3 linked regions of the Lytechinus pictus genome follow. The protein of the gene in region 3 interacts with the protein of the main gene of each other region in a pairwise test. Links are inferred from orthologs where the notes say so. Each region holds a gene or a part of one and is shown on either strand. Other genes may lie near its edges.

Region 1 (7,982 bases), on a different chromosome or scaffold from region 3:
TATCTACCCCCTTCCAAAAATTTATGAAGGAAGAAGAACACTCCCAAAACACACTCAAAATAAATCAAAATGAAAATGAATTGAAATCCAATGGGATACCAATTCGCGCAAAGTAAGGTTCGCAAGCGCCACTGTGGTAATTTTTGGGGTATTAGTATATATATCCTGTGAGGGAAAGAGTGGAAAGTGGGGTTAACAGGAGGAAGGTTCACAGATATACTCACCAGTAGGAAGTTGGTGCAAGGCACGTTGAAATAAAGATACGGTAACCAAAAAGCAGGCCTAAATAACTTGTGGATATTGCTGGTGTGACGTATTCTTGGTGTAGATGTATAATTGCCGATGTGATGTATAATTGCCGCAACTAGATGAAACCCGAAGGGCGAACGGGCGAAGCAGAAGGTATAGTAAGTGTAAACACAGACGTCCTTGTCTCGCACCGGTCGACTCTCCAAGTGATGATCAGATCCCTTGGCTGGCCTGACTATGCAGCTATGCTGAGACCTGAGTTGTGCACCCAAGCATGGATGAATGCACAGGGCTTGGGGGTTTGGGTCTATTGTTGTGTGCACACAACACAGCCTCTAGCCCATAGTACATGTGTATTCTATGCTCCAACCAAGGAGGCAGTTGCTCCAACCCATCCCACAGTACTACATGTATGTAGGGAGCAGTCGCGCGTGCCCCAGACTGTGGTACATTTTACCACACGCGATACCTCTCCTAACCCAGTCTCGATCGGCCATTTTGTTATGAATTTTGAAAGAAGGAGAGGTACATCTTTTTTGCTTCCATCTGGACTGGTAGAGCTTCATGAGGTTCACCAAGCTTTTACACAGAATTTCGAAATTTTGACTAGAAATATTTTTATGCTAATTTATGCGAAATTAATTTATGTATATTTTAAAATGTCATATTAAAATATGCTTCTTTATTTGTTGACCGATTTTTTTTTCTTCCATCTTGTAGAGCTGAATGAGGTGCACCAAACTTCTGATCAGAATTTTGAAATTTCGAGTAGAAAAGTATTCATGCTCATTTTTTGCGAAATTTATTCATAAATCATAGAGAATGCCTCTTATTTATTTGTTGACCGAATTTCAAAATACTTCTTCGTCATTTCAAGTCCAATTTCAATTCTGTTTGCTATATATGATAGCACTAGGTGGGGATTCAAAACTACTACACAAAATTTTGAAACTCATTATATATGCTAAATTTTGCACAATTTTCAAAATTCACAAAAATGCTCCTCCTTCTTTATTTGTTGACTGATTTTGATTTTTTGCTTTCTTCTGGTAGAGCTTCATGAGTTTCACCAAACTTCTACACAGAATTTTAAAATTTTGACTAAAAAATTTTTTAATGCTAATTTATGCATACAATGTATTTTTAAAACTTCACATAAAATGCTTCTTCTTTGTTTATCGATTTTGAATTTTTTTTCAAATCCCAGCCATGGCGTGGTTTCCTTCATCAAGAAATTAATCCACATTGTGCTGCACTCAACCCAGGTGAGGTGAATGGGTACCTGGCAGGAATTTATTCCTTGAAATGCCGAGTGCATGAAAGCTGCTTGAGCTACAGCTGGGGTAATAATCCAAGTCCTTTGGAAGCGCATAGAGATGTTATTCATTATGTGTTATGCGCTATACAAGAACTGTCTATTATTTTATTTTATTTTCTTCCATCTTGTAGAGCTTCATGGGGTTCACCAAACTTTTTAACAGAATTTTAAAATTTCGAGTATAAAATTATTCATGCTAATTTATTGGAAATTTATTCATAAATCATAGAAAATGCCTCTTTAATTGTTGACCAATTTTGATTTTTTTTTTCATCCATTTGGTAGAGCTACATGAGGGTAACCAAGTTTCCACACAGAATTTTGAAATTTTGGCTAGAAGATTATTTATGCTAATTTATGCAAAATTTATTCATAAATCACAAAAAATACCTTTTCTCCTTCATTTGTTGATCAATTTCAAATTTGTTTGCTTAAATATATGTCAGCTCTAGGTGGTCATACTAAGTTTCTACACAGAACTTAGAAACTCATTAGATATGTTAATTTATGCATATTTTTCAAAACTTACAAAAATGCTTATTTATTTGTTGACAGATTTTGATTTTTTGGTTCCATCTGAGAGCCTCATGAGGTTCACCAATTTCAATTCTGTTTCCTCAATTCATGTCACCAATATAGTTCACTACAGTGTCAACTGGGCTGAAGTTAAAAATTGTGTTAAATTTTGCTGCGAGATGCCGGATGAGCTCCACATCAGTGATGTGCTAGTTTATTTCTGGTGGGAGATTGTTTCAGTCTTTTATTGTATTTGGTATAAAACTATTGAGGTAGGCTTTTGTTCCACATTGAAGTGGTACCAATCGGCTGTTGTTGGCTCTTACTGATCTTGGTGCTTCCAACACATATTCAGGGATGTTTACAGCGGCTTCCTTTTATGGTGAGATTTGTAGAATAAGGTTAGTCTGCTGTCCTTTCTTCATGGTTGGAGAGAAGGCCATTTTAGTGATCTGACTAATTCAGCTCAGATCACAATCTTGAAACAAAATAAAGGAAAGATGGAGATAACAATTAAAAAGATCAAAAGAAAAGAAAAAGAAAGAAATTAAAGGAAGGATTGAATAAAGAGAATTAAAAAGGATTTGGCCTAATACTAATAGTAGTAGCCCACTCACATCTATTGCGAGATTAGTATGTTATATCAACTTTGCGTTACAAACGTGATTACACAATTTTTTTTTTTTTTAGTAGTCGGTTAACATCGCTGCATAACAGGAATAATGTTGGCGGAAACTCATTCCGCTACTCACTGGGGCTCTTTCCAGTTACTGGAGTTAGTGGCTATCCGTTTTTAATTGTTTTATTATTTTTTTCTATAAAAAGCACATAAAACGACTTAAACAAGCAAATTCGCCTACCTCGGCCTGGAAAGTGGCTTCACATGTCTCTACCATGGAAATAAAAGGAAGCTCGATGGTGGCGCTAATACAATTCACAACCTTAATTCAGCTCTATAATGAAAGATTGGACACTTTGCAGACTCCGCGTAATGCTTTGCATCGATTTAAGTGTAAAATGATTTTGGTGCCTAGTCTTTCCCTTGTAGTGTCTTTGATATGAATATGAATTGCGCACCCTCTTGAGACGAAAAATTGGGAAACGGCGAGTAAACTGAAGACGGACAGTCAACCTGCCCGAAACGTCGAGTCTCTCTACTGCTTCTGCTCATCATCTCTACTCGCCGACTCAAGCCAGCACCTCATCCATCCTACTAGTCAAGCTGTTTCAACTCATCAATCTCTTCTGGTTTACAGTCCTTTTCAGGACTACATTCAAGAAAGATTACTCTACTCTCAAATTTCCACTTTCTCGCCTATCCATTTCTGTTTTCTTTTTCTTTTTCTTCTTCTATCCACTGTTTCTATAATACTCCACATGGTGTACCGTAAACCACATCAGCGATTGTACATGCCACCATGGAAACCTTCAAACAACATCTAAACTCCATAGTTCGTCAACGAGAAGAAAAATCAGCGCTTAAGTAGTATTTGAGGAATATTAGCGAAAATTTGATTCATATCATTCACAGTCTTGAAAGCAAATTGTGTGCTCGCTATGATTCGACGCACTTTCTTGCATAGAGACAAAGAAAACATCAAGAGGTTGTACAGGTCACTTGTGACATCAATTCTGGAATACGCGAACGGAATATGGTACCTACGATATGCTCCTGACTTGAAGGCTGTTGAGAAAGTCCAGCGACGAGCAACCAAACTAGTACCAACCCTGAAGGAAATGGACTATGGTAGAAGGCTGCATTATGAGCGCAATGGCCATCATCTGTCTGTGTAGGAGGAGGACAAAAAAATTCAGAAAATTTTGAAAAAAACTCCTCCAAAACATTGGATTTATCAGTCTAGTAGTAGCCTTGCTTTAGTCATTGTCAAAAAATTATCAACAGGAAGGGTATTCAAATTCAAATTCAAATTCAAATTGTTTTATTCTCTCAGTAAAACCTTTACATAAAAAACAAATATAATACAAAGTTAAAATACATGTATTACAAATCAGTGTAAAAGACAGTCTAAAAATTGCATTATGATTCAGAATCATACTGAGGGGTGGCAGCCAAAAAGGAAAAAAATCCTTATAATTAGGCCGACCCATTATTAAAACGAAAAGGTGACATAGAAAATGCAATAACAGGGATATAGCAAAAACATTTCTAAAAACAAACAAAATAACTTAAAAATACACATAAACAATGAACCAAGACATCAAAAAGTGCCATGCCCTAACATAATATTACAATAATTATAATAATACAAGTGCTATACATAAACTATACATCATTCAGCCACTGTATTTCTCAAGAAGGTATCTTTTGAACTGTGTTTTGAATAAATTAAGTGTTTTTGCATTGCGTATTTCATCTGTTAGTGAATTCCAAACTACAGGACCTTGATAAATGATGGATTGTTGAGACAGTGACGTTCTTATTTTAGGAAGATGAAAATTATTTGCATTTCTCGTAGGATAAGAATGTATATTGCAATTCAGGTTAAAATATTCTAATAGAGAAATGGGTAAAAGTTTCCGATAACATAAAAACCAGGAACCAGTGCCTCAACAACTTTAAAGTAGGATATAAGTTTTAGGAGTTGGTGTCTTTAGGCAAGAGTATAGGCTGGTTGAGATTCTCTGTCATCTCGGTGATCAAGCCTGGTTCTTTAGAGTTAGATTGAACATACTACATTGTAAGTTAACAAACCAAGTGCGATGTACATGTGTCTAATGAGCCATGTAGTTAAGACCATCATTTTCAGCATTAACATTAAGAAAAAAAATCAAAGCAAATTAAATGTAATACTACTAGTAATACCAGGAACATAATTTGTTGGTAAATATAAGACATTGATATTGACTCTTTCTTCTCATTTGCAGATGCTATTCTGTATTTCACTGAGTACATGTCTACAAACCAGGACATCTCTGCTGCAGTGGCTGCTATCAACACTCTGATTGAATACCTGAAATTAAGTCAAGGTGCTACTACCTATACTATTTACTAATTTTTTTTTAAAAGGTATACAAACAAATGTTAATCAGGAGTGCTTGGTACTTGCAGTCTGCAACCACTGTGCCTGTGTTGAGTCTATGCAACATAAAACACACACTCCAAAAAGTCTCTGAAATATTACTTTCATAACAAATGATACTAAATCCATTCATTTATGATCATTTGTTTTCTTTATAATCTTAGAGATTGTTTGTTTTATTCACCAGAGTGTTAAAAAACTGTAATATTTAGCATGTATTTTTGTGACCCTCTGTTGATTGAAAGTAATTATAAGTAGCCCACAAAGGCACAGACTTTATTTTGTTAGGAAAAAAAGTTTAGAATTCAATTTAATTTTGGGCCAAGGCATTTGATGAATAAAATATAAAAAGAATATCTGTAGTCAGAACAAGAACAAATAAGACTTTATCTACTTGATCAAGAGAAAAAGTGACAAACCCACTAAGGGGATGGGTTCATTCTCAAACATTGTAAGGGTCTCCCCTTCAGTGAGTTTGTCATTCGCCTGAAGAAACCAATTAAAAATTGGCAAAACGTCACATCAGTAAGGTGTATTTCCACTAAATATATGTTTTGTTTATGTTTGTACATGTATGTATACAGCTGAGACATTAGCTGGTCTTCGAGATGGGCTGAAGGAATGTATCAGATGGTTGATGGAAACAGATAGTTCAGTAACAGCTATATCATCAGGATGCGAGCTGTTCCTAAGATTTATCACTCTTGCAGCCTTAGATCACAAGGTGTATTATTTCATTTTGTCTTGTGAATCATAGTTTCTTTGTTTTGTTTAGGCCTCATATATGCTTTCTCAAAATGTATCACTGAAGCAGCCATTTTTTTTTTTTTTTATGGGGGGGGGGTATTTTGGGGGTTGCCTGGTAATGCCAATGTACTGACTTATTCAATGATAGCCTATTGATTTTTTGTAGTCATTTATATTTGTGGTTTAAGTAAAGAATGGTCTACAGTGTTGAATTAATCTATAACTTACAGAGGAAACCAAAATTTTTTTAGATTCATTCTTTCCATTTTATGTGTCTTCTTTGTTTGTTTGATCTGCAGTCTCTCAAGTCTTGAAAAATGTGCTTTGTGTCCTTTTCTTAAGTCTTTTATTCATTATGTTTATTCCTCTTTCCATCATCTTTTATTTTCATTTCAGAATTTTAATGAATGCAAGAAGATCTTAGTAAACCGAGGTAATATGTACCTAGACACTGTAGCCGGGTCAAGAGATAAGATTGCTAAGCTTGGTCATCCATTCATCACCGATGGAGCAGTAAGTTCTGGGAAGATTTTCACTGCCTAATTTGTTATGAGCCAATCAAATGCAAGGATTTCAGTAGCTTATAACAGTTGTCAGGGAAAATCATTGATGATGAAATGCTCCCCACATGGAGGAAAATTAGACTGTTAATTGTATTGTGGTATTGGCATGAAGCATGCTGGTAAGGAGTCCAATGGAATACCATTCCTTGTTCATGTGAAATTATCCAAGAAAGAAAAGAATTAGTTGAGATTTCTTGAGCTGTTTAAAGCCATGGCAGCATTGAAATCCTTCATTGTCACATACCTACCAAAGATTGTATTTGATCAGAATATACATATTTTGGGGAAAAGAAAATTGCCATTTTAACCAGTGTTTTTATACGCCCATCTCGACGGGACATATGGTATCACGCTCGGTGTCCGTCCGTCCGTTAACTTTTCCTTGTAAACACGATAATTTCGGTTTAACTTTACCTAGGCTCATATGATTTGGTATGTATGATACTAGCATGGATCCCAGGAAGCCTATTGATTTTGAGGTCACAGTGACGTATTTTTATCGTACCCTTCTGCAGTCGTTGTAAACGCGATAACTTCAGTTTAACTTAACCTAGGCTCATATAATTTGGTGTGTATGATACTAGCATGGATCCCAGGAAGCTTATAGATTTTGAGGTCAAAAGGTCAAAGGTCAAGCTCACAGTGACATGTTTTCATCTTACCCTTCTGCAGTCCTTGTAAACTTGATAACTTCAGTTTAACTCAACCTAGGCTCATATAATTTGGTGTGTATGATACTAGCATGGATCCCAGCAAGCCTATCGATTTCGAGGTCAAAAGGTCAAAGGTCAAGATCACAGTGACACGTTTTCATCTTACCCTTCTGAAGTCCTTGTTAACGCGATAACTTTAGTTGAACTTAACCTAGGCTCATATAGTTTGGTGTGTATGATACTAGCATAGATCCTAGCAATTCTATTGATTTTGAGGTCAGAAGGTCAAAGGTGAAGTCGCCATCTTCCACTTTTCTTGCTTGACCAATACTCCAGTTTCCGTGAACATACAGACGGGTGTATTATGTGCTCGCCTTAGCGACACTCTTGTTCAATTTTTGTGAAAATTTGTCTGTAGTATTCTATAGGAAATTTAAGAATGTTCCGACTTTGGGGATGTTTCTTAGTAATTTGTTAATATTTCTTGGCTTTCAGCGTTGATTGGTATCTGTATTCATGCCAAAAATGTAAGTTTAAAGCAGAATCTCTTGTCAAGGATTTTTTAGTAGCAGGGAAAAATTGCACAGGGGTGATTTTGACCCCAAATAACCAAAAGAGCCTTGAAAAAAAAAGATCCCTGGAAAATCCCCATTCCCTGCAATGTTGTTCAAAGTTTGTACAATACAGTATAGCAGATTTAGACAGGAGGTTGTGAAAAGTAGCTCCTGAAAAAAAAAAAATCCTGCTTAGTTTAAAAGAGGTCAGTCTGTTAAGTTGAAACTGAGAGCGCTTTTGGCCATTTGGGAAAAGCACTTTATTAATATTGGGTATTACATGTATACTATTATTATGAGATTATGTGTGCCATTTTAAATGTGAATACCATTTTTACACA
Region 2 (7,913 bases), on a different chromosome or scaffold from region 3:
CTTTCTATCAGACACCACACTTTCTGGCCAAGGTAGAAACCAGAGACGATTCCACAACTATTTTTTCATTGTGTAGACATGATTTTAATGGTACTATTGTGTCTTATGTATATGCACTCGTATCAAAGTCCAAATGGATAATTGGCATTTATCACCACACACTAAAAGTTTCAATCTGCAATTAGGGGTTTAAAAAGGTGTCAGACTACGTGGTTGTGGGGGGGGGGGTAGTCGCGTGTGTCATGTGTAGGGGGTGGGGCTCATACCCGTAATATGGGTACCATACCGATATACATGTAGCTCCTCTGTCAAGACAGGAAGAGTGGAGCAAGTTTAATATTAAGGGCACGGAGAAAAGGGATAGATACTTCCTCTGGTAAAAAGGCACACCAAAAAAGAAAAAAATCGTATCTCCCGAAATCAACCCTTTGTCAGTCGCACAATCACAGGAAACAATCATGATCATCTTTATGATGATGGTGATGATGATTGTGGTCAGTCGGTGAGAATAACAATAATGATAACGATTAATACTAATGGATCATTAATATAAATGATAGCAATAATGTTTATAAACTGTTACCATGTCACTATCTCTACATCATCATCACCTTTACCACCCCCACAACCAATCATCAACACCATCACCACCAACAACATCATCGTCGTCATCATTATCATCACCATCATCATCACCACCATCATCATCACAACTTTTCAGATGGTCAAAATTTCGTCAATTCCTCGTCTCAAGGACAGCGGCGTTACAGGGGTCAGTGGCCAGGGGAGGGCAAGAGCCAAAAATTTCCCGGTCATATCATGGTATGAACATGCGTAATGAGGCGACTATTTTGAGAGGGCCAGATATTGCGTATCGGGCAGAATTTATCTTTTTAAAAAAAGTTGCGAGCGAGCAAAAAAATTGACCTTTTTAATACAAAAATCAAATTTTGTGATAGATTTTGACATGATATCCAGAAAATAATATATTTCACTTTACTCTCTTTCCATTTTTTTTGTGGTCTGTACGCCACTGTGAACAGGATTCTTTGCGGCAGTAGCGTGAAGAGTAAAAAAAAGAGGGGCGCAGTATGACACATGTGCTAAAAAGCTGCTTAATATAAGTCCCGAGCGAGCGAAGCGAGCGAGAAAAAAATCAACTTTTTATGCGATTCTAACTTTGAGATATTTTTGAAATTATATTCGTAAATAAAATGATATCCTACACTTTTCCTTTGCTTCTCTTTCCTCCTTTTTGTTTGTTCTTGTTTGTAGAACTTTTGGGGGCCAATGGCTCAACCCTTCCATACTCATATACGGCAGTGCTGTGCGGTTGGGGTCCGGGGCGGAGCCCCCGGAACTTCTTGATATCAAAGCCATTTAAACCTCGCAGATTGCTGCTATTTCAATCAATTCGCGGGTATATACAGAATGTAGCTTTTACACAACACATTAATATAACCCAGTTGCGTAATGAACCAAATATATTTGAGGGGGCAAAACATAGCAATGTGGGAACATTTACATCCTACATCCACTGCATGTTGGTTTTACTCTTTCTATTTGTCATTATATTGATTTGTTTATGTATTGTTCATATAATATTGTTTATTGTATATTGTACCTTTTGAATGGATGTGAGTAAAGTGAATTGAATTGAATTGTTAAAAGTCGCCAGCGTGCAAAGCGAGCTGGAAAAAAAAAAGCCTATTGAAATTAAATTCTAATTACAATGTATGTGATAGATTTTTCCATTATATTCAGCAAATAACACATTTCATTGCTTCCATTCATTTCATTATACGTTGTCTCCTATAATTTATTTTATTTCCTCTTGGGTGTGGAACCAAGACCCCCCGCGCCTGTACGCCAGTGATTGAACGTGATTGAAAGGGGGCGTTATAGAGCCATTTTATGGTCATAGATCAAGAGCCCCTATTACGTTATTTGCATAAAATTTAGCAAGCTTATAGTTATAGCACAATGTTGTATGCAGTCCATCTTTCTTCCAGCTCTTTATTTTCAATCCTCGGCAGCCCGGTCGTGTTATTATTTTTTCTTGTCCCTTTTCTTTGTTTTCTAATTTAGCTTTTGACTCATTCCATTCTACCTTCGTTTCCCGCTATTGTTTGCCATTTTGTCATCTGTTAATTTATTTCCCATCATGCTATTGCATTACATAAGCCTATTTCGAAATGATTTGTTGTTTGTCAAATCTTCTTCTTTCGTACATTTTCCCGCTTTTTTTCCTTTTCCATTAAAAAAAATCTTCATTTTCTTTTCACTTTTCCCTTTCCTTTTCCCATTTCCTCCCCCTTTCCCTTTCTTTCTTCCTCCTTAAAAAAAAAGATTTTTCCCTTTTTTTTTTAATTTTCCCGGTGAAATCCGCCAGGGGGGCAGCTTGCCCCCCGCCTGTTACGCCACTGCTCAAGGAGAGTCTATAAAAGGGGAAAGTACCTTTTAAAATCCCCTTTGGATCCACCCCATCATAAGGAATGAGAAAACGATATCAAGTATAAATTGACATATAGCAGGAAGCAACAGCGAAGTTCAATTCAACCGCACTGTCTTCATAGTCAAAGATCGTATTTTGTAGTTTCCTTTTGTAGGATATAATGGATGCACTATACAATACGGATATATTACAATTAAACAAATAAAACCAATGCTTTCCCAAAGCAGAAAGGATAGTAGAATGCCACACATAAAGGCCTATTACATGCCTATACGTTGATAAATATTATTGTAGCAATCGGGACGGGGATAATAAAAGGAAATAGATATGGGTCATCTAGTAATTTTGCGTGATACAAAACGTAAGGCAAAGTTAAAGGACAAGTCCACCCAAACCAAAAAAAAAAGTTGATTTGAATAAAAAGAGAAAAATCCAACAAGCATAACACTGAAAATTTCATCAAAATCGGATGTAAAATAGGAAAGTTATGACATTTCAAAGTTTCGCTTAATTTCACAAACAGTTATATGCACATCCTGGCTGGTATGCAAATGAGGAGACTATGACGTCATCCACTCACTATTTCTTTTGTATTTTATTATATGAAATATTCTAATTTTCTCCTCATTGTCAAGTGATACGATTAATTCCTCCCTGAACATTTGGCATTAGCATTGTTTAATTTTATATGGTTCAGTCAAGTTGGTCCTTATTGTCAAATCTGCAAAAATGAAATATTGTATAATTCAAACAATACAAAACAAAAGAAATAGTGAGTGATGGACATCATCGACTGAGTCACCGAGTTGTGCCGTTTTGTGAAAAATAAGCGAAACTTAAAAATGTCATAACTTTCTTATTTTACATCCGATTTTGATGAAATTTTCAGCACTATGCTAGTTTGATTTTTGTCTATTTATTCAAGTCAGCATTTTTCGGCCTGGGGTGGACTTGACCTTTAAAGTTAATCGTATCCCTGATACGAATTCTATCATCCAATCCGGCAATAATATTGGAAATGGATCTTGCTCAGCCGCCCATGTTCATTCTTTCATAGTTTTGCGCAGGAAGTTCCCGGAAAAAAAAAGGGGGGGGGGGTAAGAGTTAGACGCGAGGGAGCGAAGCAACTAGATAGGGCCTAATCATGGGTAGATTGTTATTGTATTTTCAAATCAGAACTGACGGATATTATGCATATATTGCTTTATTTTTCACCCAAATTCGTTGTATAACAGAACAATCTTTTGAAAACGTCTCAATTCTACCTCCAATGGAAGTGCTGCTCTAAGATAGAGAAGACAAGCGAAGTTCCCGGGAAAGGGGGGGGGGGGGGTTAGAGTTAGACGCGTGGGAGCGAAGCAACTAGATAGGGCCTAATCATGGGTAGATTGTTATTGTATTTTCAAATCAGAACTGACGGATATTATGCATATATTGCTTTATTTTTCACCCAAATTCGTAGTAATAACAAAACAATCTTTTAAAAACGTCTACAATTCTACTTCCAATGGAAGTGCTGCTCTAAGATAGAGAAGACAAGCGAAGTTCCCGGGAAAGGGGGGGGGGGGGGTTAGAGTTAGACGCGTGGGAGCGAAGCAACTAGATAGGGCCTAATCATGGGTAGATTGTTATTGTATTTTCAAATCAGAACTGACGGATATTATGCATAATATTGCTTTATTTTTCACCCAAATTCGTAGTATAACAGAACAATATTTTGAAAACGTCTCAATTCTACCTCCAATGGAAGTGCTGCTCCAAGATATAGAAGACAAGCGAAGTTCCTGGGAAGGGGGGGGGGGGTAAGAGTTAGACGCGTGGGAGCGAAGCAACTATTTAGGGCCTAATCATGGGTAGATTGTTATTGTATTCTCAAATCAGAACTGACGGATATTATGCATAATATTGCTTTATTTTTCACCCAAATTCGTAGTATAACAGAACAATCTTTTGAAAACGTCTCAATTCTACCTCCAATAGAAGTGCTGCTCCAAGATATAGAAGACAAGCGAACTTACGTCTCCCATTCCCTCCGATATCCCTTACTTTATGTGTACGATTGTTCCGTCCTTATTTCGTCATGGAATATTTCATGACCCCTATATACCAATGCCCAATAATATTTCCGGATTAATGATAAGTTTTAAATCAATCACACATTTGCTTTGGCAGCCAGTATAAAGCTGAATAATAGTTTTCAGCAACTGCGTTCTGTATGATAACAAGTTTTATGAACAACTCCCAGGAACTTAAATAAAAGGGGGTGATAATGGAATAAATCAACCCGATCTGTTTTGGTTGAAATCACAAACCGTAAAAAGGACAAAAGTTCAGAATCGGAACACTCCCTTTATGTTTCACGGTTTAGAGAGCCGCCATAAATGAATGGAATTTATCGTTATTCCACAGATTGCCCCCCCTAACTCTCATGTCTCAATCAGACTTTGAAAGTAGGAAGTAACTGTGCGATATAAACACAACCCAAACTTGTACTTGTCCTTTCGGATATACAGATATATACAGTGTTGTGTGGAGCGATCATGTAGGAGTTGTTCCAGTGCAATAGGTAGAAATATCTTTCAATATTGTCAGTTTACCATCGCATTAAAGCACGAGGGATCGGGATATATGGATTACTATTGCCCTTTTTCGTCAACATAAGACCATCCTACGTTCAGGTAAGTATATTGCGCTTGTGTAACCACTACACTGATATTAGACTAGAACTGCTATGCATTTACCATACATTAATGGCTTGATATTAATGAAATAACGCTCAAATGCAATAATCTGCATTCGAAATATTGTGTATAGCACATAGCTAGTGGATAGAATAAGAAATATTATCGAGCAGAGTTTAACATTCACAGTATTCATTGTTATGGAAAACTGTACATAAATAATTGTTCCATGCCGAGTCAGAACTACCTGACATAGCAGTTTTTTCTTAAGGGATAACATTAGGCTAGTTGTGTGTGTGTGGGGGGGGGGGGGTGCGGGAAGTCTTTTGAAGAAGTTGTCTGTAGGAAAGCATATGAGGAAGTACAAGTGAATATTAAAGCCAAATCTACTAAACTATTTGAATAAGTTATTTGATTAAGTTGTTACGGTATTGACATAGATACATTCCAATCATGAAATTGATAAGGAGTAAATATGTAGCAGAAGGGGAGGAGGGGAAGAAGAAGAAGAGGAAGGATAAGAAGAAGAGGAAGGAGAGGGAGAAGAGGACGAAGAAGAAGAACGAAGAAGAGGAATTAGAAGAAGAGGAAGAAGAAGGAGAGGAAGAAGAAGAAGAAAGGGAAAGAAGAAGATTAAGAAAAGGAAGCAGAAGAAACAGACGGGGAAGAAGAAGAAGAAGATGAAGAAGAGGAATTAGGAGAAGAGGAAGAAGAGGAAGAAAAGGAAAAGAAAGAGGAAGAAGGAGAAAAGGAGGCAGAAGAAACAGACGGGGAAGAAAGAGAAGAAGAAGGGGAAGAAGAAGCAAAGAAATAAGGGAAATAAGAAGAGGTGGAGGAATCATAATAATGAAAATAAGAAGAATAAGAATAAGAAGAATTGAATAAAGAATTCGGAAGCAAGAACAAGATTTTCTGCACCCTTTCTTCCTAACACCCCCACTAACACCCCCGTCAAATACAAAAAAACTTTATACTTAAAGTAATTACTGCACGCGCTCTCACCTATATACTAGTGGTAAAAGTGTACCAGATGAAAAAGTCTGCCCCTCTCGATTTCCGCCACATTTTAAGGGATTTGACACCATAGTAAAATGTCGTGTATATCACTCAGATTTTTTTTTAAACCGACCTATAAGTTGGTTCAAATATGGACTGACTATTGGTTAAAAAAATGCGTGCAAAATGAATAGGATATTTTTTTCTCCAACAGTTGATCAATTCATATTTCAACCAACCTTTGGGTTGGTTGGACAAATTTCTGAGAGTGTAGACTTTTAAGCAGTATAACACCGTAAGGAAATTTCATTAGGCCATATAATTTCAATGAAACACAAGACCCTAAAAACATCCTGCATCTCTCAATTCCAAAAGAATCGGTGATACACTTATTAAAACCTCGTTCACAGTGTCGTGCGATCCGTTACGAACGCGACGATTGGCCTTTCGTAACTGATCGCGAAAACTTTTGAACCATTCCTTTTTTTCTTCAATCAATACGATTGCCACGACTGATCTGATATTCACTACGATTACTCCCAGATTAATAAGATCACCGCTTCAATCATAGCGCAAAACGTGACAGTGGAAATTAGGTATATTAATCATAATCATAATAATTTCTGCCTTCGTCCAAAGGTCAGTTCCACTCCGAATTCATGACTTTTTCATTTCCTCAAAGCATGTCCCGTTGCTTGACAAAAACCACGCGGTTCCGTTTACTTGACAGTGGATCTGTGAGAAAATTGACGTTCATCTTCTGAATTTGTTTTATTTCCTTATTTATGACGAAAATAAAAGAGCAAGCTTAATGATGCTGTGGTATAATTTATTCTTCGATCTTACCGATTGTTTTGTTATTACATAGGCCTACGTATCATGTTTATACAATGATGTAATGAATGATAATGATGATGATGATGATGAGTATAACTATGAAAACATTTAAGTTTGTAATGGTAGTATTGGTGGCGGTGGTGATTAAGATGATTATAATGGTAATATAATGATATGGCGATGATGATGATAGTAATAATAATAATAAAAGTTAGTAACAATGATAATAACAATTTCAATAATATTACTGACAACACTTGTAAATAATGATGGCAATGACATTTAGAACTATGGATATAATTGCATAAGTGATACAATGATGATGAATGTAAATCAAAAGCATGTAAATACCCATCAATAAATTATGTTAATGATAGTAATATAAAACTAACGACGATAACCATGATTGTGAATACCAATATAAGATAAAATTTATCTTTCATTTTAAAAGAAAACCAAACAAACTTCTAAGCATGCTTAGAAGAATAGTGATCTTTTATTCATTTGGAACTTAATTATCCATATTTATCAGCAGACATTGTGCATGAAGTTGACCTCACACTGAACTATACATACCCAATAACAAGCGATTCAATTTGTCTATTAACTATGAAATTTGGCCTAAATGATGAAAATCCGTGGTTTTGCAAATATTTTTCACCTGCAGTGCCCCTGGATGGAAATGGTGCGTGGGCTTTGGAATTCTATTTTCACTCTCCTACGTGGGCAAGCTTTTCTATCAGAAGTGACTTTGGCGAGTCAATTTGATTTTGAAGATCAGTCATAATTTCAAGTGTATAGTGTGAATACACAGGGCAGCTGTATAGCTCGTTGGAAAAACCACCCCTTGAATATACATAGATTTAACACCCCATACGGCAAGGAATATAGTAATCATCCTTCCGAGTGGAGTGCTTGAAGGACTTGACTATACTCAAAATGGA
Region 3 (7,066 bases):
GGTGGTTATGGTGATGATGATAATGGTGATGATGATGATGGTGGTGGTGGTGGTGCATGGCGGTGATGATGCTGATAATGAGGATGAAAATGATGATGATGATGAAGATAATGAGGGTGACAATGATGGTGATGATGATGATTATAAAGATGACGTTGAAGAAGATGATGATGAATATGATAAATTACAAAACGACGGCGATGATGATGATGGTGATAATGAAGATGATGAATTACAAAATAACGACGGCGATGATGATCATGGTGATAATGAAGATGATAAATTACAAAATAACGACGGCGATGATGATGATGGTGATAATGAAGATGATAAATTACAAAATAACGACGGCGATGATGATGATGGTGGTGGTGGCGGTGATGATGCTGATAATGAGGGTGACAATGATGGTGATGATGATGATTAAGATGACGTTGAAGAAGATGATGATGAATATTAAATTACAAAACGACGGCGATGATGATGATGGTGATAATGAAGATGATAAATTACAAAAAATAACGATGGTGATGATGATGATGGTGATGATGGTGGTGGTGGCGGTGATGATGAAGATAATGAGGGTGACAATGATGGTGATGATGATGATTAAGATGACGTTGAAGAAGATGATGATGAATATTAAATTACAAAACGACGGCGATGATGATGGTGATAATGAAGATGATAAATTACAAAATAACGACGGCGATGATGATGATGGTGATAATGAAGATGATAAATTACAAAATAACGACGGCGATGATGATGATGGTGATAATGAATATGATAAATTACAAAAAATAACGATGGTGATGATGATGGTGGGATAATGATGACGATGGTGGTGATAGTGAGGATGGTGATACAACACAGGGCCGCAGAACGGTTTTGAAATTGGGGAGGCTACGTACATTCAAAAAACACAAAAACGTTTTTGTACATGGAAGAGTTAGTTCCAACATCACTTCATTCATTCATTTATTTATTCATTTTTACAACAAAATTTATAATGCAATAATTACAATAAATAAAACATAACATCAGAAAATATGAATGACATAAATATTCAAATAAACCAAACATACAGAATATACACCTGGTACAGAATATAATATTTCCAAATTGATAATAACAAAATGCAAGATATGTTGGAAAAATGGAGTGGCCCACTGAAAAGCAAAGCTTGTAAAGTGTGGCCCCTAGCTTTCAAGAACAATGGTGTTACATGTAGGCATTCTTTCTGATGATGGCAACAGTGGTTGGTTTTTTTTTATTCAAAATTCACCTAGGCCTATGTAGGTGTACTTGAAATGTTCCACAAATAGTCCGAAAACTAATAGTGTAAGTTACGTGATCCATGATGATGGTGATGACGATGATGACGATGATGATGATGAGGATGATGATGATGGTGGTGGTGGTGGTGGTGGTGGGGTGCAACCTATGAGAATAACACACGCAGCACCCTCCATAAAAGTCTCGGGGATGGTTCAGCACCCCTGCTTCCAGAGCCATTGGTCTCAGTTTGAAACTTGATGTTCCGCTATTTCAGAAAGTTTTCCTAATACGATCATTGTACAGTCCGACGATAAATTCAGGAAAATAGATTGGGCAGATAAAAGTCATGATGTCTATAATCAAATGATTTAGCAAAACTATACCACTTTTTAAATCATTTAGGTATACCCCAACCCCTCGCCGGTACGCCAATTGTGATGATAATGGCGGGGATGATCATGAATATAATGGCGATATGATAATAATTATGATAACGTTCATTATGACTGTGAAAGACAAATGGAATAAGAAAATGATAGAGCTATGGCATTTTACAACTCGACCTTTTTAGATTAGTCTTACTCTATACATGAGGATGATGATGTTACACATTTTATTTTACAGGGTAGTACATCTCAAATTCGACTATTTATGAGGCATGTGAGGAATAGAACAGTCTCTTATTATAGGCCTATATACTGTTGGGAAATGGAAATATTTTATTTATCAAATAACAAAATAAAATAAAAAAATAAGTTAGTGAGTCTTTGACATAATTGGCTCCCTCATTTGCAAGACCGCCAATTGTACTTGGCCTACTACTTTATAAAAGTATATTTGAAGAAAGAAACTTAAAGAAATTGACTCAAATGCTCTTTTTTACTTCCGAAACAGACAAACAGTCTATTTGAAAGAAATACTAAATACTATTTGAAAGAAATACTAACACATGTGTAAGCAAAACCTCTCACACAAAATATTTTCCACATCTCCTCATTTGCTCATTAAAGGGGGAATTCACAATTACATTAAATTGATTTCAATAGAAGCCAAAAAAAGAGAGGAACATATGCCTAAAAAGTTTTAGCGAAAATCCATAAGAGGATATAACGAAATTATTATTATTTTGTTGTTATTGTTGTTGTGTTTGTTTTTATTTTGTGACGTCATATGCGAGCAGTTAATTCTCCCCTTATGAGCATCTTTTTATGATGGCTACCTGCGCATTACAAATGTGTGTACTAGTAATCGATTGTTCAACATATCATTTCATAGGCCTATCGGCTTCTATTTTTACTGAAGAAAGAGAAGGAAGGAAGTAGTCGTGGGCCATTAAAAATTGAAATTTATATATATTGGGAGCTACTCGCACATGACATGACGCTAACATTTAACTTTTAAATTATCGCCAACTTATGAGTGAACCCCTCCTTTGATGAACGAATAAGACAATTCATACGAGAGCGCAATAAACTGGTATAGTATCATCAGCCAATAGCGTAATGAGCCCCCCCCCTCTAAAAAAAATGAGGGGGCAACATAATTTACGTGTAACAAAATTTCTTAAAAGTCGTGAGCGAGTGAGCAAATGTTTGTCCTTTTAAAATGACAATCTAATTTTGCGATAGGTCTATATAGTTTGAAATATTTTTTAGAAAATAATACTTCATCTGAACCTTCTTCCTTTATGTTCCCTTTTTCCTACTTTGAACTTTTGGGACCCCCCCCCCCTCCCACACACACACACTCACTCACACAACTGCAAGCCATGACAATAGCAGAACAATATATGAACAAATTAAATACAAAAGATTTACCAATTAATTGTAATTTATATATAGGCTTAATTAAAATAAAAATTTGTAAAAAACGTTTATTCATGTGTTACCATTTTAATTTTAACCGGGGGACAGGAGGGGGCTCTAGCCCCCGCACTTTTTTTCCAAAACCGTGTACAAAAACGAAAAAAATTACCACCTGATTATGATTTTTGCATGGTCAGCCCCCCCCCCCCCCCCCCACGCACGTTTTATTCAAAACCGTTCCGCGGCCCCTTTATATATATGCCTATAATTTGATTCTTTTTTTTTTTGCCTTTCATTTTGCATTTTTTATATTGAATTATAATGTTGTCCTTTATCGAGATATTGTGTGATTGTCATTAATTTTAATAAACTGCTGTAGGATGACACTTGAAAATAGAGATACATGTCACTGTAGTATTAAACAAAAGTATTGGAGTAAAAAACCCTGCACCGGCCTCAATCCAATACCAAAGCTATTTTTTTAAGCAAACACGTTGGTATCAATCATTCACAAAGCATTTTCATTTATTTGATGCAAGATAGAAGAGTTATGTATCGAAATACGCCTCGGTCAAGGGCCGTACCGGGTATCGAACCCCGGACTTTCATTGTGTAGTCGGGTACCTTAGACCACTCGGCCACGGCACCAAGCTATTTTTTTTTTTTATAATATTTTATTTTCTTCCTCTTTCAAATCAAGTTAATCACTTCGTATAAATCAAGATTTTGTACATATATACGAGACAAAGAAATATATCAATATCAATGAGATTACAAATTTTCAGAATTATTAGAAATGAAGTTAACTGCCCAATTTCTCTTACATTAAAAAAGCAGAGAAAAAGTATCATCAATCGACAAATAAAAAACAGACTTTGTAAAAGGTGACTTTTTGCACTGCAAAACAAGAGGTCTAGCGCCATCTACATTTCATAATTGGGTAGTGTCGTTTCGGTCGCTTTTTGGAGCTCATGACTGGCAAAAATTGAGATTGAGACCAAAAAAATAATCGTTTTATTTGTATATTTAAAGACTATTTGTTGAATTATTTTGTGCCAAAATAAAAGGAGGCCAACATCATGCAGGGAATGCACGAGACCGTCCCGAGTTATCATCCGGTGGAACAACAGAGATTCAATCCATACACATTCAATGGAGGGTAAGGTTACTCGTCTGTCCACTTTGTCAGTTTGTGCAGCGCTGTCCCTCCTCGCCTAGCCTCAGCTCCGGCGGCTCGCTCGCCAAGGAGGGAGCTAGGCGGTGGAGCTGCCGCGTTCATGGCAGCCAGGATCAGCTCACAATTCACATTCTGAACGCTAGGTTACTCTCTAAATTTGCGCTAATGCAGTTGGCTCTATCGTCATCCAAGTCACTGGGGACAAACTTGAGACACACCTTTATCAAAATATCAGCAATCTTTCTCTGGAATAACGCCTTCTTAAAGAGGTTTTCAAAACCAAAGTCTTTATTAAATAGAAATCTAGACTATTGTTTGCGAATTGCGGCGTGAAGCTTCTGAAGTCTGAACAGGGGCTTTCTTCCACCACACGTTTTCCTATTGACACAATAACAACTGACTCAGACACTTTTTCAAACAACAAAAAATAGTAATCTTCTTTCTTTTCTCCTGAATATTCTTCCAAGTTGAAACAAAAACACGAAATAAAACAAAATTAATCACACTAAAAACTAAATTTTAACTGCTCGTGATCCCATAGCATAGGAGGGGACTCGAATAACGATATGCTCGTCATCCGAGTCCCCTCCTGTGGGAAATTTGCAGTTAGATCTAAATAGTATTTTTAATGTGATTTTTTATTGATTTTAATGATTCTTATTATCGAGGATATTCATTTATCATCTCTAAGAAACTGTCTAAAGTGGCAGTTAAATAGTTTTTTTTTTTAATGTGATTTTTACTGATTTTAATGATTCTTAATTTCTTATTATTGGAAAGTCAAAAAGGGGGCCTAAGCTTTCGATCCTAGCAGAATCTTCGTCGGAGGCAAAATGACAAACATATAAAGTGGAACAACCATAATATAGACCACAAACAAGCTACAGCAACACTAGAAACAAGGAGACAAAAGGGGCATTAGTGAGTAGAGAAGACCAATCAGGTTAGTGAAGGGGATGAAAGAAAAGGAGTAGGCAGACACTTATTATTGAGAATATTCATTTATAAGACTGTAGGAAACTCTCCAGAAGTGGCAGAGTGGTTTTGAAGAGGAGGGAAATGCAAAATGAGGGGTAGATGAATATCAACTTGTTAATTGCCGTTTTGTATTTTAGGAGAGGGGACTTGGATCACGAGTTTCAGTAATAGTATTCCTCGTTATCCAGTGAAGTCCCCTCCTATGGGAAATTGGACAGTCTTTACACAGGAAGGGGACTCGGATCACGAGGAGTAATTAGACAGTTAATAAGTATTTTAATGTGATTTTTATTGATTTTAATGATTCTTATCGAAAATGTTCATTTATCATCTTTAGAAAAAGTGTCTAAAAGTGGCAGAGCAGAGTGGTTCTGAAAAGGAGGGAAATGAGGGGTAGATGAATATCATCGGGTTAATTGCCGTTTTATTTTAGTGGGGGGACCTGGATCATGAGGAGTAATGACACATTTTTATAGTGTTTTTAGTGCAATTCTATTGATTTTTAATAATAATTCATATAAAGAATATTCATTTATCATATCTCTAGGAAACTGTCTAAAAGTAGGAGTGGGCTATACATGTAAATGGGTGATTTTTTGTTTTATTGTGGCAACAGTTTTTTTTTGTTCCTTAGCAAGTAGCAAGCAGCTTTTATAGCTATATTGCCTTAGAGAAATATATCTTATCAAATAAAAGAAAGTTTTATAATCCATAGGGGCTATACGGTACATGTATACAATGCACTGGAGACTGGACATACACTACACTGCATACAATCATCTAATTGCTATTCATTTCATTTGATGTTTATTTTTTTATCTCTTGTATAAGACAGAAATAACCATTGTTTCCAGGGATTTATTCAACAATTTCTGAATTCTTACTATCATCCCATTCACCTAACCAGGAGGCTCCTAAAGAGTAAAAATCATTCTCTAACATGAGCTTACCTCCATGGAGCCAGGGCATGTGCCTACATGTATATCTTGTCTGTAGTGGCTGGGCTTTTTTAAAACTTTTGCCCCTGTGATTTCAACTTTCCCTATAAGAGTTCTAGCCCTAAGTCATGTTCATGTAAATGGGCTAGCATAGGCGGATCCATGGAGCCAGGGCATGTGCCTATATCTTGTCCGTAGCGGCTGGGCTTTTATTAAACTTTCGCCCCTGTGATTTCTACTTTCCCTATAAGAGTTCTAGCCCTAAGTCATGTACATGTAAATGGGCTAGCATAGGCGGATCCAGGGGGCCGCCCCCCCCCCCCCTATTGGCGGAGCAAAAGAAAAAGAAAAAAAAAAGAAGGGAAAAGAGAGAAGAAGAAAAAAGAGGAGGAAGAATGGAAGATGAATGAATAAAATAACATGAGGGGAAGACTTGGAAAAAAAAAAAAATCTTTCATGTCATATAAAATTTTCGCTCGTGCTTCACGCTCGAATTGCCTGTTCGAATGATACGTACATGTATGTAGCTTGTTCAGAAGCCTGATATACATGTAGAGCTTAAAATATCAAGTTTTTAAGTCAATAAGCAAAACGTATTTCAACATGGACATTGATCTTTTATTAATTTGCTTGATTTGCCAATTAATTTGAAAAAAAGTGCTTTGTAAAATGTCTGTTTTATTATCTGAATATCAACATTTACAGCTCACGCTGCGCGCTCGCATTATTTGATTTGTCAAGTACCTATCCTCTTCATGCATTCCATAAAGTTATAAAAAAATATATATCTTGTCAGGTCTGATTATCAAAACATATCAACTAGCGCTGCACACTAGCATTTTGATTGAGTTATGTGTTCTATAACAAACTTCTTAAAATCCCCTTTT

Evidence for each region.
Region 1: the proteins of proteasome subunit beta type-1-B-like (region 3) and translation initiation factor eIF2B subunit alpha-like interact in a two-hybrid assay, tested with the Caenorhabditis elegans proteins (2 studies listed by BioGRID). The link is inferred for Lytechinus pictus from reciprocal best matches to the Caenorhabditis elegans genes pbs-6 and eif-2Balpha.
Region 2: the proteins of proteasome subunit beta type-1-B-like (region 3) and actin-binding protein WASF2-like interact in a two-hybrid assay, tested with the Caenorhabditis elegans proteins (3 studies listed by BioGRID). The link is inferred for Lytechinus pictus from reciprocal best matches to the Caenorhabditis elegans genes pbs-6 and wve-1.

The regions. Positions count from the first base shown.
Region 1 is NC_087246.1:1,160,668-1,168,649, reverse strand, and holds the start of translation initiation factor eIF2B subunit alpha-like, read left to right. Parts: upstream 1-4,973; 5' UTR 4,974-4,995; coding exon 4,996-5,071; intron 5,072-5,708; coding exon 5,709-5,848; intron 5,849-6,267; coding exon 6,268-6,384; intron 6,385-7,982.
Region 2 is NC_087257.1:21,056,225-21,064,137, forward strand, and holds the start of actin-binding protein WASF2-like, read left to right. Parts: upstream 1-4,879; 5' UTR 4,880-5,133; intron 5,134-7,913.
Region 3 is NC_087259.1:10,581,732-10,588,797, reverse strand, and holds the start of proteasome subunit beta type-1-B-like, read left to right. Parts: upstream 1-4,004; 5' UTR 4,005-4,165; coding exon 4,166-4,245; intron 4,246-7,066. UniProt on the Caenorhabditis elegans protein: Non-catalytic component of the proteasome, a multicatalytic proteinase complex which is characterized by its ability to cleave peptides with Arg, Phe, Tyr, Leu, and Glu adjacent to the leaving group at neutral or slightly basic pH.